Arabidopsis thaliana: one gene and its partner. Each later gene encodes a partner of the first gene's protein in a complex. Each region holds a gene or a part of one and is shown on either strand. Other genes may lie near its edges.

Region 1 (3,756 bases):
TCTCTTACTTCAACAACACGTCATTCCTTGGAAACCCTTTTCTCTGTGGATTTTCTTCAAACCCTTGCAACGGTTCCCAAAACCAATCTCAATCTCAGCTACTTAACCAGAACAACGCAAGATCCCGAGGTGAAATCTCCGCAAAATTCAAGTTGTTCTTCGGGTTAGGCCTACTAGGGTTTTTCTTGGTGTTCGTCGTTTTAGCTGTGGTCAAGAATAGGAGAATGAGAAAGAACAACCCGAATTTATGGAAGCTTATAGGGTTTCAGAAGCTCGGTTTCAGAAGCGAACACATATTAGAATGTGTTAAAGAGAACCATGTGATTGGGAAAGGCGGACGAGGGATTGTCTACAAAGGGGTAATGCCAAACGGAGAAGAAGTTGCAGTCAAGAAGCTCTTAACCATAACCAAAGGATCATCTCATGACAACGGTTTAGCCGCAGAGATTCAGACATTAGGTAGAATCAGACACAGAAACATAGTGAGATTGCTCGCTTTTTGTTCAAACAAAGACGTGAATCTCCTTGTTTACGAGTATATGCCTAATGGTAGCCTCGGAGAAGTCTTGCACGGGAAAGCTGGAGTGTTTTTGAAATGGGAAACACGGTTGCAAATAGCGTTGGAAGCGGCTAAGGGGTTGTGTTATCTTCACCATGATTGCTCGCCACTTATAATCCACCGTGATGTGAAGTCAAACAACATCTTGTTGGGTCCTGAGTTTGAAGCTCATGTTGCTGATTTTGGGCTTGCTAAGTTTATGATGCAAGACAATGGAGCTTCCGAGTGCATGTCCTCGATCGCTGGCTCGTACGGCTACATCGCTCCAGGTACATGACTGATTCCTAATACTACTTTCTTGTATCACACGTAACATTCAAACTTAGGATTTCAGTACTTCTAGTTAAAACGTATGATTGATCTTAGCCCATTTTATCCGTTTCTTGAATGCAGAATATGCATATACACTGAGAATAGACGAGAAGAGCGATGTGTACAGCTTCGGAGTAGTGTTATTGGAGCTGATTACGGGTCGAAAACCAGTAGATAATTTTGGGGAAGAAGGGATAGACATTGTGCAATGGTCAAAGATCCAAACAAACTGTAACAGACAAGGTGTGGTGAAGATCATTGACCAGAGATTGAGCAATATTCCATTAGCAGAGGCCATGGAACTGTTCTTTGTGGCAATGCTATGTGTGCAAGAACATAGTGTTGAGAGACCGACCATGAGAGAGGTTGTCCAGATGATCTCTCAGGCTAAACAGCCTAATACTTTCTAAATGCAGTGATGTTATATATATAAGAGACTAAATATATATTTTTCTGTTTTATGTGTTTCATAGAGTTTTGTTTTTAGAATTTGTAATGATGGTTTGGTGGTGATATGAGTTTATATTGAAATTGAGGAGGAAAAAAAGGGTTAGCATTATATCTTCCTATCATAAAGTATCAAGCAAAACTAAATAACATTTGCTAGAAAATTATGAATTATGTGAAAGATTTGAAAAAATAGATAACTGTTCTTTGATTCATTTGGAATTATAAAAATCATGATGACCAAAGAAAAATGTTGAAATCACTCAAGCATTTGATTTAACATATGATTATCCAATATCTATAGAAATAGTTAGCATTTGAGTGTTTTTACTTTTTAGTATCCAATTCACTATCATTGATATTTTTAATTTTGTTGTCTAGCTCGATTTATAACATTTGGCTAGTTGTAAATCGTTATCCCAACATTGTATTCCAAAAAAAAAAACCAGTTAGTTATTCAGTGGTTTTGAACTGAGCCCAGCCCAAATCCAATGATGTGGTTCTCGAAACTTTTTGGGTTGGTTTAACAAAAACCGGTTCAGATCTTTTCTTTTGATCCACCAATTGATTGGACTAAACCGACTTATAACAGTCGCTACACTCCTATAGAAAAGCTTGAAATTGAACACAGTCGATGAATTTTCCTCTCCGCCTGGAAGATTGTGGAGCTCCCAGTTGTTGTTAACAACGGTCTAGAGATTCGTGTCTCTTGAAATTCGATCTGAGTTTCACCTTCAAGGTTCGTCAATGATCCGTAGCAATTTGCTTCGTTCTAAACCCTAATTTGAGATCTCAATTATGTGATTTTTTCGTTTAGGTTTTAATCAGGAATGAAGCATTCAAAGGATCCGTTTGAAGCAGCGATTGAGGAAGAGCAAGAGGAATCGCCACCGGAATCACCCGTTGGCGGAGGAGGAGGAGGTGATGGTAGTGAAGACGGACGAATTGAAATCGACCAGACTCAAGATGAAGATGAGAGACCTGTGGATGTTCGCCGTCCGATGAAGAAAGCTAAAACCTCTGTTGTTGTTACTGAAGCTAAGAACAAAGATAAAGATGAAGATGATGAAGAAGAGGAAGAGAATATGGATGTTGAGCTTACTAAATATCCAACTAGTTCTGATCCTGCTAAAATGGCCAAAATGCAGTGAGTCTTTGTAGAATTTTGATTGTTCTTCATGTTTCTTTGATGATTGATTGTTTGTTGAATTCTTCAGAACCATATTATCGCAATTCACTGAGGATCAGATGAGTAGATATGAATCTTTTAGGAGATCTGCACTTCAAAGACCACAGATGAAGAAGGTATATATGTTATATGATTTGTGGTTATCAACATTCTTAATTTTGTTTCATTGCAAATATGAACCATTTAGCTTTTATGTTAATGCAGTTATTGATAGGTGTCACTGGTAGTCAGAAGATTGGTATGCCAATGATTATTGTTGCGTGTGGTATTGCAAAGATGTTCGTTGGTGAACTCGTTGAAACAGGTAAGCCAGTGCAAAAATTTCCAATGATTTTGTTTATGTGCCAACAAAGCTCATTTACTGAACCTCAATACATTATCTGTAGCTCGAGTTGTTATGGCGGAAAGGAAAGAATCAGGACCTATCAGACCTTGTCATATCAGGGAGTCTTATCGGAGACTAAAGCTCGAAGGAAAAGTGCCTAAAAGATCAGTTCCACGCCTTTTCCGCTAGTCAACAAGAGCCAAAAGAGAACTTATATCAGCCTAAGACTGGGGAATTTACCAATGCTGCTCAAGGATAAGGGTCTACGGCAGGTTTAAGCTGGCGAGATTTGCCTATCAATCTCATCATAAAGGAGAACTTCTTTGGCTTCCCTGGTGGATCATATTGTTCTTTGATGTTCTTAACTTTGTGTGACAACTTTTGTAGTAAATCAATCTTTGGATACAGACCCTGAAATGGCTATCAGTCTTACGGTTTGGTTTTTATTTGGTTTACGTTTCCAGTTTTCATTTTCAATACAAGATCAATCTTTGACTACAGACCACATGGCCTAAAAGTGGCAATCCGGTTTACTAGGTTGGATTCGGTTTCATTTCCGGTTTTATAGAATTCGAAATCAAATAAAATCATTTGTAATCCGGTTTATTTGGTTAAATTTGGCTATACCTAAAAATTGGTTTTAGTATTGATTCGTTTTTGGTCGAACATTACAAGAACTGGGTTTATAAGTTCAAATTCAAATTGTGTATTTCTTCGGCGTGATTGAAAACCGTCGCGATCAGAATTCGGTCTACTGTCAAAATTGGTACGGAGACGTTTTGAATCACACAAGTTCCGGCGAAAGAGGATCTAGTGGGCCTGATAATGGGCCGATCTCGAAACGAACTATTACGTGAAGAGAAGAAAACAAAGTGGGTTGCGAATTGAAAGTCTACAGAAAATAAAAGGACTGGATTGGAAAAA
Region 2 (3,756 bases), on another chromosome or scaffold:
ATATGTTATCATCCCTGGGATGAGGCATCAACATGTTATAACTCTGGAAAAATAGAAGAGAAAAGAAACTTTAGGGGAAATACGTACTCCCCACTGTATTTCTTTTTGATTAATGTGATTAGCAGTGTCCTGAAAACTCCCGACAATGGTGACAGCTTCTATGTCATCGGATGAGGAAGTAGGCTGTCCCGAGTAGACTGCAACAAATTATCCATGACCAATTGATTCAATTTTCTACTCAAAAAACTGCTACAAGCTATCGCATATATAAGAGAAAGAAACACATTTACCTTGGAAATTGATGTGCTCGTTAATAATACCAAGCATTAAAGTCGATACTGTACTATGTAGATACTGAAGTAACAGCTCATATGAATACTGCAACATTCAGTAAGCATATTAGAGGTCTGCAGTCACGGAATTCAGTTAATCAGACCAGAAACCTCGAAGCAGTTGCCTATTACAGCTACTAGTCAATTTTCACTCAAGTCTACCTGACAAAACTTGATGTTAACCTTGCTTTTTCTAAGAGAACGAGCAAACTCCATCTCCTGATAAGAACCAAGATCATAAGAAAGATAATAACCAAAAAAAAAAAAAAAAAAATCCATTATCAATATTATATGACCATATAAGGTTTATCATAAACCTCTAGATGAGATGGAGAAAGCACGCCTTCAAGCTTCTGAAGATCCCGTAAGTGTACCATCTCATGATCTTTGCGGAAGCTGTTAAAGAAGGCTCTAGCTGGAATACAAGAGACGTATTATTTCCCACAGTAGCATAAGTCACTGTTTCCAAAAATCTTATACCGAAGGTAAAAAAAATACTCAGTACATCTAATTTGCTATATTGACAAGTACCTTCTTGAGTGTGCCCTTTCCCCACCAGATCCATGTAACAATGAATAAACACAGGATACATCACTCGAAGCAATTCATGCTACAAAATTAGAATCATCTCGTCAGTTCAATTAAGCCTGTCTCTACCCAAAACAGCCAAGGGATACACAAAAAAAAATCCCCACCTTATATAAATCCAGAGAATTATACGCCCATGACCTTAGTTTGCTGTAACCTTCACGGTACCGAGTTGGATCATCTTCTTGTCTGCAAACAAAAGAACAGACATTTCATTACCATTAGCTCTCTCTACATAAGCCATACAAAAAAACCTAATTTCTTGCCACTGAGATGTCATCAAAATCTTAAATTTGACAGATAAACTGATAGAAATATTCACATAAACTTCACCCAGAAAGTGAATTATATTCATTTTTAGATTCTCAAAAACGTTGGAGCTTACATAATTTTTCCTTACGGTTTTCAAAATTCACAAAAGACACTAAAACTTTCCCAAAAATTCAAAACACAATTCGCATTAAGAATTGAAACGAGAGAGAGAGATAGGGAGAGAGATTACTGAGAAAAGGAGCGAATGAGCTTCGTGAGCTCAGGATCGTTATGATAATCGACAGAAGTGAAGGAGCTACCATTATTGTTCTGGTGATGATAAGATTCAAGGTCTTTAGCAGCGCTACTGAATCCTTTCTTCTTCAAGTAGCCCACGACGAACTCGTTGATTTGCTCTGGATCCATTGTTGTCTCTCTCTCTCTCTCTCGATTCAATTTCCTCTCCTAGAAACTTGTATCTCGTCGCTGAAACATCTTCAGTTTTTTAGATTCCGTGTCTCTACAAAACTGGGCCTGTTTCAATGGCCTAATTGTGGCCCAAATATAATAATTTCAAAGTTATGATTAAAACCAGGCCCGTCTATGGGGGTGGCAGGTTGGGCAAATGCCCAGATTCAAAATTTACTAAGAGTTTTTGAATTATAAGCCCATGACCTTACTTTGATGTAAAATCTCATAACCATTTTCTTTTTAAATTACTTGCTTTGGATTCTCTATTTCAACTTAAAGATTGGGACAAGATACCAATATTTATTGTTTGAGTAATTAATTCTTACAGAATTATTGAAAATTATCCAAAAAAATGTTATCTTCTCAAAATTTCTAACTTTTATTTAAAAAAAAAAATAACTTTCCAAAACACCCAGTTTAAAAATATTTAAACAATAATTCTTAAATCAAATGTTACAATGGTTAAACTAAACACTTGCAACAATTTATTGTATATAAGACAAGGTCAGTTATTTCCTCCCACAATGGTTAACTCGTTTTCTAAAAATATATTATAAAATTTTGGATATCAAATAATCAAGAAAAATTCTTTCAAATGCCCTTTTCATGATGCCCCTTTTCAACTCTACCCTTTTGTTTTATCCATTTTTATTTATATTCTCTTTAAATTTTTAATTACCATTTTACCCTTATTTGGAAATTGTTTTAGGTTAACAAAATGAAATATTAATATTTTTTCGCCTAAAATATTCTAAAATAAATTTCCCGCCAAAATTTTCCCGCCAAACCTTTTCGAAAAAAATTCCCACCAAAAATTTTTGAAAAACATTTCCCGCCAAATTTTGTTTTCAAAAATATTTTTCCCGTCAATTTTTTTTTTTGGCGGGAAATAGATTTACAAGGAATTTTAAAAGAGTTTTAAAAGATTTACAAGGCAATTTAAAGGGGTTTTATAAGATTTACAAGGGATTTTAAAAGGGTAATTTACAAGGGATTTTAAAAGGTTTTTAAAAGATTTACAAGGGATTTTTAAAAGGGTTTTAAAAGATTTACAAGAGATTTTAAAGGGATTTAAAAGATTTACAAAGGTCTTTTAAAGATTTTTAAAGGGTTTAAAATTGTTTTAAAAGGATTTTAAAATATTTACAAGGGATTTTAAAAGGGTTTTACAATATTTACAAGGGATTTTAAAGGGTTTTAAAATATTTACATAGGATTTGTAAAGATTTTTAAAGGGTTTAAAAGTGTTTTGAAAGATTTACAAGGGATTTTAAAACCTTTTAAAATTACTTGTAAATCTTTTAAAACTCTTTTAAAATCTCTTGTAAATCTTTTAAAACTCTTTTAAAATCTCTTGTAAATTTTTTAAAACTTTTTAAAAATCTCTTGTAAATCTTTTAAAATCCTTTTAAAATCCCTTGTAAATCTATTTGGCGCTAAAAAATATTTACAAGGATTTTTAAAATATTTTTTTTGGCTGAGGAAAAATTTTTTACGAAAAAAAAATTTGGCGGGAAATTTTTTTGTTGGCGGGAATTTTTTTTTTTGGTTGGAAAAAAGTTTGGCGGAAACTTTTTTTTGGCGGGAAAAAAAATATTTTGGCGCCAAAAAATTGGCGGGAAAATTTCAGTTTCCAATTACATGTTTTTATTAGATGAGGGTAATTTGGTCATTTTGTTCAAGGGGAGAGATATTTTTAAAAATGGACAACATGAAAGGGTATTGTTGCAAAAGGGTAGTAAAAAAAGGCTAGTTTTGCAAATCTCCCAATAATCAATACATATAATTTTCAAGAACCAATCAAGTCCTTATATAGTGAAAAACTAGTATTTATTGTTGTTCTATAAAATAGTTTTCTATGTATGGTTTTTAAAATCAGTTGTTGTTTTTTACAGGGGAGTCAAATTCAATCAATCACAAAATTTTATTAATAAGATGTTTTATATCTTATCTCACTGTTACTATTTCAAGGATGTGTTTTGCACGGAACATCTTCATGATAAGCTTATTTTACAATAAATCATACTTTCTTTGTTTCTTAATATTTGTAGTTTAAGGTTTTTGCACATAAATTAAGAAAATATACAAATCTTATTTAATTTATTTCTTTTCT

The links. The genes of interacting proteins can lie anywhere in the genome.
Region 2: TAF11 (region 1) and TAF5 share a complex: the UniProt entries of both Arabidopsis thaliana proteins name them as parts of the TFIID complex.

The regions. Positions count from the first base shown.
Region 1 is NC_003075.7:10,951,644-10,955,399, forward strand, and holds TAF11 (TBP-associated factor 11), read left to right. Parts: upstream 1-1,896; 5' UTR 1,897-2,057; intron 2,058-2,135; 5' UTR 2,136-2,148; coding exon 2,149-2,465; intron 2,466-2,535; coding exon 2,536-2,623; intron 2,624-2,711; coding exon 2,712-2,811; intron 2,812-2,893; coding exon 2,894-3,021; 3' UTR 3,022-3,433; downstream 3,434-3,756. Other genes in the region: BAM3 (Leucine-rich receptor-like protein kinase family protein), read left to right, coding at 1-828, 953-1,281; AT4G20290 (uncharacterized protein), read right to left, coding at 3,516-3,756. UniProt on the Arabidopsis thaliana protein: TAFs are components of the transcription factor IID (TFIID) complex that is essential for mediating regulation of RNA polymerase transcription.
Region 2 is NC_003076.8:8,674,959-8,678,714, reverse strand, and holds the start of TAF5 (TBP-associated factor 5), read right to left. Parts: upstream 1,667-3,756; 5' UTR 1,599-1,666; coding exon 1,423-1,598; intron 1,110-1,422; coding exon 1,028-1,109; intron 943-1,027; coding exon 864-942; intron 748-863; coding exon 650-747; intron 552-649; coding exon 495-551; intron 379-494; coding exon 291-378; intron 198-290; coding exon 88-197; intron 1-87. UniProt on the Arabidopsis thaliana protein: TAFs are components of the transcription factor IID (TFIID) complex that is essential for mediating regulation of RNA polymerase transcription.